Linked DNA regions of Rattus norvegicus. The protein of the gene in region 1 binds, or shares a complex with, the protein of each later gene. Links are inferred from orthologs where the notes say so. Each region holds a gene or a part of one and is shown in the gene's direction. Other genes may lie near its edges.

Region 1 (4,010 bases):
CAAACTTGTGTCTGTCCCAGTCTGCCTTCTGCTCACTACATGATCTTAAGTCCAGCAGCTCCTCTGACCCATGTTGAGACAGATGGGACTTCAGAGATCTAAGTTCCTCCTATATTAGGTTAACTGCTGGAGTGCTGGGTAATGGAGACACCTCTGGATCCTAAAGAATTAAGAATATTTAGCCCATCGCTGCCACCCCTACTCTAACCGGGTAGATTTGGTCTCATTGTATATCTCTGGTTAAGTATCCTGTGCTGCCATGCCAGGTGTGCACCACTGGTTGCTTCCTGTTCGGTAACTGCCTCCTCTCCTCACAGACATCATTGAGATGGACTCAAAGCGTGTGCCTCGGGACAAGCTGGCCTGCATCACCAGGTGTAGCAAGCACATCTTCAATGCCATCAAGATCACCAAGAATGAGCCAGCCTCTGCCGATGACTTCCTGCCCACCCTTATCTACATCGTCCTGAAGGGCAACCCCCCTCGTCTGCAGTCCAACATCCAGTACATCACTCGCTTCTGCAACCCCAGCCGGCTCATGACGGGCGAGGATGGCTACTACTTCACCAACCTGGTGAGATGTGGCTCCTGGGGGCAGGGGATTTACCTGAGGGAGGTAAGAGGCTGGTCTTGGACCCCTGGCAGCTTAGAGCTCGTGAGGATGCAGGTCTGTCAGAGTGGAGGAGACTGTGACCAGTCTGTGCACACGCTCTACCTCCCTGCACTTCTCTATGAGTGCCCTATCTCTCAGAGCTGCTCATCTCTTTGCCTCCTGTTGCTTGCCTGGCATTAGCATTCTACAGCCCCACGTGATCTGCTGCGAGGAGGAATCCACCGATACTGGTGTGGAATTACTCCAGTGGCAATTCAGCATTGCCACAGACATGAACAGGGTTTGGAAAGTTCACTAGGTATAGCATATGTTTCACATATGATAAATGACAGCTCAGGGAAGGTTCAGGCACAGACCTGGGAGTGCTCCTAGGTGGGAAACAGCTGGGAGAGCAGAGAATAGAGTCTGCTGAGGAACAGGGAAGGAGAGCTATGATGCTGTGGAAGATTCTGGAAAAAAGGGAAAATCAAGTGTCCAGAAAACTGGACATGCCAGTGCACAGCAGCGACTGAGAGGATGGGGTGGGCAGATCAAAAGTGCTGGGTTACATAGTGAGTCCCTGTCTTAAAAAGAGACCAGCCAGTCCTGGTGCCCAAGCCTGCACTCTCAGGACTCTAGACGCAGAGCTACAAGGGTCCAGAAGATTAGGAATTCAAGATCATTCTTGGCTATGTAGTGAATTTAGGGCTAGCCTGGGCTGCCAGGTATCGCTGAGGCAGGGCAGAGGATGCAGAGCACCTGCCTAGCATGCACTAGGTCCTGTGTTTAATCCCCCAGCACTAGGAATGGGGAACTCCTGACTTCTTTCGGCCTTTCTGCCTGACCGCCATGCTCTTCTCTTTCCTCTGCAGTGCTGTGCTGTGGCTTTCATTGAGAAACTAGACGCTCAGTCTTTGAATTTAAGTCAGGAGGATTTTGACCGGTACATGTCTGGCCAGACGTCCCCCAGGAAGCAAGAGTCTGAGAGTTGGTCCCCGGAGGCCTGCTTAGGTGTGAAGCAAATGTATAAGAACTTGGACCTCCTGTCTCAGCTGAATGAACGGCAGGAAAGAATCATGACTGAAGCCAAGAAACTCGAAAAAGACTTAATAGACTGGACAGATGGGATCGCCAAGGAAGTTCAAGACATTGTTGAGAAGTACCCTCTTGAGATTAAGCCCCCAAACCAACCCTTAGCAGCCATTGACTCTGAGAATGTGGAGAACGACAAGCTCCCTCCCCCTCTGCAGCCGCAGGTGTATGCAGGGTGATGTCTCGCTCACGGCCGGCTTGATTTGGGGCTGATTTCAGGGAGCTGCTGCGTTCCACTGTTTGGGTCTGGAGTATGAATTAACTGCTTACAATTTCAAAGTATTTTTAAGGTACAGATTTAGGGATTGTTTATTTTCTTTTTTTTTTCCTAGCAGGGGAAGCTTAGTAAATAATAATGTCCTATTTATTTGAGTTGGTGAAGTAGGTTTGTGTGAATTCTGTGTCAATCTTTTATGTCCTTTCTGATTCTCCCACGGGCTTCCTCTGTGGTAGACACTGTTGTTGGTTTTGGGCAAACACTGTCTTTTAAAGGATAAAACAGATGCTATAAAGTCTATGTTGAAATGAATTCTATGTTCCCACACTCTCCCAGTGTGAAATAATTTTGTAATTGTAAAGATAGAAGATAATGTTAATAAGTAAATATGTAAAATTGTAAATATGTAAAAAAAAATAGGGCTGGGAGGGGTGGTATCAGCGTGCATGGCATTTCATGAGCTGATTTTTTTTTTTAGGTGAAAATGAAATATATTGAATGTTTGCCTTTAGCACCATTTTATTTGGTTTGTTTGTCCCACTAAAAATAATCTAAAAATACATGAGCTTTAACAGGACACTAGCACTAACTGCCCTAACTCTGAGGTCCTGGTACATGTTAATGAAGTTGTGACACCAACTTTTAGGTCACATAAAGAATTGTTCTGGGACCCTGGGGTGGTAGCTCAGGCAGTAAAGTGCTTTCCACACTGGTTCAAGGACCTGAGCTTCCTGTCCAGCCCCCCATGTGAAAAGCCAGACATGGTGACGCACAGTTGGAACAGTGCTGCTGGAAGGCACAGATGGGCAGGTTCCTGGGGGAATGTCCTCCTGACCCTGATTAAACAAAGGAACCAAGATGGACAGCTCCTGAGAAATGATAGCCAAGGTTGACCTCTGGCTTCCACATGCCTACATCTGTGCCTGTGTACCTCTACACACATGTGTACCACATACACATGAACACACTGTTGCTAATTAGTACGGTTGACTTTGAACTGTGCTCATAGCTTCCTTTCCCTAATTCATCCAATAAACTTCCCCCACAATGTTATGGGGGCTATTGCCTTTTTGAATTGATTGGTTCTGTTTTGTTCCTTGGTCTTTTGGGACAGGCTGTTGCTATGTAACCCAGGCTGTCCTCAAACTTGTGATCCTCCAACCTCAGCCTCCCGACGTCGGGATTGGTGGGTTTGTACCATCACATTTAGCTCATGCAGACAAAGCATCACCGAGTTCCGTGATACAACGATGTGGTCGTGGATGCAAGTTGGAGCGAATGAATGAGGCTAATGGGAGTTGACAGGGAACTTCTCAAAGCGCGGAGCAAGTGGGTGCCTTGCGCCCTTCATAGTTTGCTTTACCTTTATCAACAGGTAACAGACAGCAGGTCACATAGACATCTCAGAACTTCTAACCTCTGAATTGACAATTGTGGCCTAAGGTTTTGTTGTTATGGCAACACTGCCTTGTACATTGTGGGGTATTGAGTAGGGTTTCTGCTTTCTGTACCAGTAGATGCCGGCAGCCCGCCCCCCATGTGTTATCATGTGATAAGGACTTATCAGGAGTTCAGATCATCCTCATACACATAGTGAGTTTGAAGAAAGCCTGGACTATAGAACTCCTTGTCTCAAAAAGAGAAAGACTAAAGAAACCTGTCTCTATCTGGTGTCTCCTGGGGGACAGAATTAGCCTGTACTAAAAATCACCGGTCTCTTGTCAGCCAGTGGGTTATGCACCTGGTATAGTTAATAAGCTAGAACCAAAGATTATATAGTGTAATATTACTTGATGTCTCCCTCTGTGAGGCCCTGCCTCGCGGGACTCTTCTCTAATCCCTGTGGAATTTTTATAACCAGGTTATACCCCAGATGGATGACTCTTCTGCATGGTTATCAGCACCTTTGTGAAATTAGTTGTTCCTCAGGACGCCATTCTTCAACAGTGTCATAGCATTCAAGGAGCTGAGAAAGGCTTTCTTCCTTTCTCAACATATTTTCCTAAATGTTTACTACACATATGCAGCATAAGAATTTTTGGAATAAAAGTAGGACAAAAATACAACTTTTAAAAAGTATTTTGTTTTTCATTACGTATGTGTCTCTGT
Region 2 (5,992 bases), on another chromosome or scaffold:
AGAAAAGAAAAAAAAAAAAAAAAGAGCACTGACTGCTCTTCCAGAGGTCCTGAGTTTGATTCCCAGTAACCACATGGTGGCTCACAACCATCTGTAATGGGATCCGATGCCCTCTTTTGGCGTGTCTGAAGACAGCTACAGTGTACTTATATATAAAATAAATAAATAAATCTTTAAAAAAAAAAGTAACCTGTGGGGTACCTGTCATTTGAATGGCTATCCAAAGGAAGAAGGAAGAGAATGCTTTTAAAGAGAATTAAATGCAGACTGCATAACTTTGTTCTCTAGAACAACTAAATGTAGGCTGAAAAATACAAATTTCAGTCTATTGTGAAGAATATTTTAGAATGGTCAACAGAAGAGTCTCGTTCCAAAGGAAGGTCCTTTCTAATCCTAGAAATGATTGTGTAAAGTCCTCGTGGGAAGTATATAAAGAAGTGTCTGTTAGGATTTCAATTGCGTCGATGAAACACCGTGAGCAAAAAGTGAGTTGAGGAGGAAAGGATTTATCTGACTCACATCCCCACATCACTGAAGGAAGTCAGGACAAGAAGTGGGGCAGGGACAGTGACATTTCTATAGTCCCAATGCACAGAATTATGGGAGAGAATGTTGATTTCCATACAGTGGCACGTTTTTTTAAATAATCATTTAATCTTGGGAAAATGGAAAAAAAAAAGAATTCAGAAACAGCAGGATCCTGGAGACAGGAGCTGATGCAGAGGCCATAGAGGGTGATGCTTATTTGCTTGCTTCTCATGGCTTGTTCAGCCTGCCTTCTATAGAACCCAGGAAGACCAGCCCAGGGATGGCACTAGCCACCATGGTCTGGGTCCTCACCCCTTGACCACTAATTGAGAAGATGCCTTACTGCCGGATGTTATGGAGACATTTTCTCATCTGTGTTTCACTCCTTCAGATAGCTCTAGTTTGTATGTCAAGTTGACAGTAGACTAGCCAGCATAAGGAGTAAGGTAGAAATATAATCTCACTATGAAAATAATTTACAAAATAATCTATAAATGATTGATTCTAGATAGACACAAGTAATTTTACCCTTGTCCAATTTTCTAATAATAGATAATTTTATAAAAGGACCCGATAACATTCTGTACCCGATTAAAGGCTGTTTTTGAGTTGACTCGATTCCTTGCAAGTTACATCATAAGTTCCTTTCCTATTTGCATTATTATTGTAAATATTATCATCATTGTATTATTACTATTATTATTATTGAAAGTGTCTTGCTACAAAGCTCCAACTAACTAAGAACTCACAATTCAAAACAAGCTGGCCTTGACTTAAAGGTGATGTTCTTGACTCTGATTTCTTGTCTGACCTCTTGTCACACACATCAGTTGCTCAATGCCAGATGCTTCTTCCTATTTTATGCCTCTCTGTTTTGCCTAAGATACTCCTCACAAAAGGCAAACTTTCTCCAGGAAGCTCTTCTAGGACGCTAACTAGGCTGGCTTCCCATGTATCTTTGTAAAACACTCTGAACTGCTTCCCGTTAAAACTATTCACTGTGCAATTGCCCATGCGTTGTTTCCCTGATTAATAAAAAATGTAAGCTCTCTGAGGACAGAGACATTGTATCTAATGCGATGCAGAACATGGCAAGTAGTGGCTACATTCACAGGGTCCTTGAAGAATGAATGGGCTGCCTTTAAGTTGAAGTGTAAAATAAGAGACGAAAGTTTATTTTAAATGGCACCAACTTACAAAATTTCAGAAATACCAGGTTGCTTTCTTGGGAGAGTGTATTTCATGAAATAAAAGTGGAAGCACAGGAAGAAAAACAAGAAATCGTCATATAAACCAGACCCATCAAAGTGGACTCAGTATAGAAAGACAGAAATCCCAGGGAAGCAGGGCTTAATGACTGATGCAGCAGTATTCATTCTTAGCTTGGCTTTTAGGGCTGGGAACCGAGGGAGGATAAGTCTTCCGCAATCCTTGCCCTTAAACATACAACCGAATCGGAATTCGACCGAGTGTGGTAAGCAGTGATAAAGAAGGCACACCACTGTTAGGAAATATCTTAGTGAGGAAGTGAGTAGGAGGGATGGAAGGATGTGGGAAGGACTGAGTGGTCAGGGAAGCCTTTCCGGTTTCAGACGAGACCTGGACGATGACTAGAAGACCTGGCCGTGTGGACAAACTGGAAAGTTCAAGAGCCCGGATTTGAGAGCCCAGAGAAAAAAGACTCAAGGGCACCTTGGCCGGACTTGGCCTGGGATGACCCCCTGGCGTGATGGCTGTCCTCTTTGGAACCATTCCTCGGGCCAGGCGATCGCGTCCTGTATTCTATCCCATCAGAGTGGGGTCTGGCCGCAAAGATCAACCCCTTCCCAACGCGGGATTCCCGGAGCGCTGAGCTGGTCGGTGCGGACACCGGAACAGGCCCAGGCTCGCCCGCCGCAGGCTCCGCCCGCCGCGGTCACGTGACGCGGAGTGTGACGTAGGAGGAAGGAGACGCCATTAGAGGGAGGAGAGGTAGCTCTCTCCTAGCCTCGGGTCCCTGACGTGGTAGCCGGGGCCCTTCATTCTGGGACTTTCTCTCGGCCCTCGCAGGCCTCGCCCGCTGGAGGACGCGGCGGGCACCGGGCTCGGCGGGGCGTGAGAGAGCCGGGCCCGGGAGGAGCGGGCGCCGCGGCGGCGGTGGTGCGGGGCTCGGCGCGGCGCTGGGCTCGGGCGGCGGGGCAGCGGCGGGATGGCTGCGGCCGGCGGCGGGGCGGCGGCGGCGGCGGGCCGAGCCTACTCTTTTAAGGTGGTGCTGCTCGGAGAAGGCTGCGTGGGGAAGACGTCGCTGGTGCTGCGCTACTGCGAGAACAAGTTCAACGACAAGCACATCACCACCCTGCAGGTGCAGACCCCGGGGAACCTGGTTAGGGACCCGCGCCCGATCGCTCCTCTGCCTCTGGCCTGTCAACTCCCCCAACCCCCCGCCTACCCATTGCCTTTTGCTATTGCTTTGGGGACACGCGGACCCCGGCAGTCTGTGGATGTCAAGACCCACGGAGGGGAGGGAAAGGACCCGGAAAAGTCCCCAGTTCTGGTGGAGGCTGCGCAGGTTGGGGAGTCCCCAGTCTGCGGGCTGGTTTTCCCCTTTGATGGGCTTCTGCTGGGGCACCAGGTGTTTTCACTCTCTGGTCTCTGGTCAGCCCTTCTTTCCTGGCGAAGTAGGAACTTAGATGCAGATTAGAATTTGCGAACGAGGTGGTTTGTAACTTCAGAGCGTGCTGATGACTAAGTGTTTATGCAAGTTCCATTTTGTCCTGCTTTCAAAGTAAATGGAGTGGTTTAAAACACCCGTCGTTGGAGGTTTTTTGAAACGACCGCTTGCTTGCTGCTTGCAGGTTACGCAGTTTTCATTGCAGCCTTCTTGAGTCGGACGTGGCGGCTCACTTATTCTTTGAGGTTTGGTCTATCCACGTTGAAACATCATATGACACAGTAGACAGCAATTGGTCATCAAACTAAAAATCTGGGCGCTGCTGCTACATATTTTCTTTACTGTCATGTCATGAAACGCGGGGCTTGCTTCTACAGTTACAGCGGAAGAGTCTGGAAGTGTTACAATGTAATTGAAAGTGAAACCAGGCCATTGAAGGCTCTGCGATCTCCCGGTTCTCCTAAAAAAATCAGTTTGCATGTGTTAGAAGAAAATTATCTATTAATGTGTCTTGATCAGACTGTTCAGAGGCTAAAAAGGCTAGTGGACTTGAGTTCGGCCGTCTAGATTCATATCCTACCCCCATTTATTTCTCTAGCCCTGTGATCTTAGGTAAATTGCTTAACCTGTGCATCCCCGGGTGTCTGCTGCCACTGTATCCATAATGATTATATCGAGTACACAGAGTTGTCCAGGTGAATATGGAAACCGCACTTAGCACCGGAAATGGGGTAAACACTATTATTACTGCTCCATCGTGTGCAATTGATCTTAATTAACACAGATGCGACTGGAATGCGTAACCTAATGGGTGTGACATTTGATGTCGGGTGCTATTATTAAACGACCGAGTGTAGAGTTTACCAGGACGCTCGGTTTCTGATTCCATACTTTATTTTTACTCCTCTGTTTTCAATTCCATATAAAGCATGGCACCTAGAGAAGTAAATGTCAGGTGGTAACGCCCAAGTGAATGGTATGGCAGAGCCGGTGCTCAGCCCTCGTTAGATTTTGAGAGGTTATGGTTCACTGCCTCTGGAGATTATAATAAACAACCCATTTTACACTTCCCTCTGTTCTATGCTGGAAGAGACAAGAAAAAGGTATTACAGTAGGAAAGCTTAACTGCAAAGTTAATTTAGCTCTTCAACCTAAGAATCTGCACTATCGAGTCCAGCGATGGTGGCACACATCCTTAATCCCAGGACTCAGGAGACAGAGCAAGCAGATCTCTGAGTTGGAGGCCAACTCGATCTGCACAGCAAGTTCCAGACCAGCTAGTGCTACTCAGTGAGACCCTGTCTCAAAAGAACAAACCAAGAAACTGTGTTTAGGTTATATATTTCTTAAGACCCCCTCAGTGCTAAAAGTGATGAAAGATGTTTAAGTCTGTGGAAAGAAGGCGGTGTGAACCACGCAGGGAGGACGAGCTATGGTGGATCTCAGTACCAATAGCATCACAGCTTAGATTTCTGCGTAAACTGTTTTCATGGTAAACAGTATGTGGGTTACTTGACAGAAGTGAAGGTTTTGTTTACTAACACATGGAAACGACACTCTGATTCCTTCCTTGTGGGTAGCTGTCCACCACCTCGTTCTCAACACTCTTCCCAGAGAAGTTTGATTTGTGTCATCTGTAAGACACAACCTCTTGTTGCTTTAATTTCCAAGAGGAGGAGATTATGCATCAGAGATGGGAGAGGAATCCTTCACAAACTCCATATTCTTTTAAAGGGCTTTGTGTTTAAAGTATTCTTTAGAGTACTCTGTTTTCAAAACATTTTAGACATCTTGGAGGTCACAGACTGGAAATACAGCTGAGTGGTAGAGAGCTTGCTTAACCTGCCAAAGGCGCTGGGTTCATTTGGAGGTGAAATGAACTGCTATCACTGAAAACAGAAGACTTACTATGCCTGGAGGTTTTCCATGTCCTTTTATGTCTAGTGTCAAACAAGTTTTTCTCTTTGTAGAGCCAGAATCTGTTTGAGTCTCAATTCTGCCCTCTGGAACTTTGGTCTCATATGACATTCCTTGAGATGGCTCTAGTGACCTCCCGAGTCTTTGTCTTAGGTAAACAGCTCTGGTTCTTTAATTGGATCTCTAGTGGCATTTAACGTCCTCTGCACTCCTGGTGTCAGGGCACCAGCCCCCATCCTTCCTTCTTTTCCCTTCTTTGTTTCTGTTGTTGCATAAGCTGGCCTGAGACTCATGATCCTCCTGCTTCAGTCTCCAGAGTGACTGGAATTACAGGTACCACCCTCTGCCCGGCTGGCGTCCTCCTTTACTTAAGTGGGGTGCTTTGAGCTGTAGGGATGACTGAGTCCAGGCCTGCTTGGACTGCACAGAGAGGTGCAGGTAGTCACTTCCCCTTCTTCTGACACTGAAGTAGTAAAGTTCCTGTGAGTTTCTGGGGAAGTTGTGGCATTGGTTACTACTGGGTTTGTTGTCAACTAAGTATTAGTCTTAAATGCTTCAAGAAACTCATGTCTCCTTCAGGTTCTCAGTTCTTTGAATTTGTAATAAAGTATTTTTTTTTCTCAATGTGCTTGATCTGTTAAAGTTGACTTGATTTGTACCAGTGTTTAAAGCTTGCCAATTTTATTTTATTTCACTATTTTTTAAGGATGGAAAAAGTTTTAGTTGATATTTTGGTGGTACAGTCATGGCAGGGGACATGGTGACAGGAACCTGGGGAAGCAACTGGTCACATCACATCTGCAGCCAGGAAGCACACACAAATGAATCTTTAATATCCTTTTAAGTCTTGATTTGGCACTCCCCCACCCCAAACATTGGGCCCATTTAGGCCAGTAT

Evidence for each region.
Region 2: the proteins of Rabgef1 (region 1) and Rab21 are in contact, whole or in part, in a crystal structure (PDB 2OT3), measured with the Homo sapiens proteins. The link is inferred for Rattus norvegicus from reciprocal best matches to the Homo sapiens genes RABGEF1 and RAB21. Residues at the interface, in NP_001273991.1 of Homo sapiens: Leu253, Cys254, Lys296, Phe299, Asn300, Lys303, Pro309, Ala310, Ser311, Ala312, Asp313, Phe315, Leu316, Pro317, Ile320, Leu347, Met348, Thr349, Gly350, Glu351, Gly353, Tyr354, Tyr355, Thr357, Asn358, Cys360, Cys361, Ala364, Phe365, Ser373; in NP_055814.1 of Homo sapiens: Ser19, Phe20, Lys21, Gly26, Glu27, Gly28, Lys32, Thr33, Leu37, Thr50, Thr51, Leu52, Gln53, Ala54, Ser55, Phe56, Ala71, Trp73, Asp74, Thr75, Ala76, Gly77, Gln78, Arg80, Phe81, Leu84, Ile87, Tyr88, Asp91.

The regions. Positions count from the first base shown.
Region 1 is NC_086030.1:32,095,307-32,099,316, reverse strand, and holds the end of Rabgef1 (rab5 GDP/GTP exchange factor), read left to right. Parts: intron 1-317; coding exon 318-574; intron 575-1,464; coding exon 1,465-1,863; 3' UTR 1,864-2,979; downstream 2,980-4,010. UniProt on the Homo sapiens protein: Rab effector protein acting as linker between gamma-adaptin, RAB4A or RAB5A. Involved in endocytic membrane fusion and membrane trafficking of recycling endosomes. Stimulates nucleotide exchange on RAB5A. Can act as a ubiquitin ligase.
Region 2 is NC_086025.1:52,811,448-52,817,439, reverse strand, and holds the start of Rab21 (ras-related protein Rab-21), read left to right. Parts: upstream 1-2,496; 5' UTR 2,497-2,716; coding exon 2,717-2,869; intron 2,870-5,992. UniProt on the Homo sapiens protein: The small GTPases Rab are key regulators of intracellular membrane trafficking, from the formation of transport vesicles to their fusion with membranes.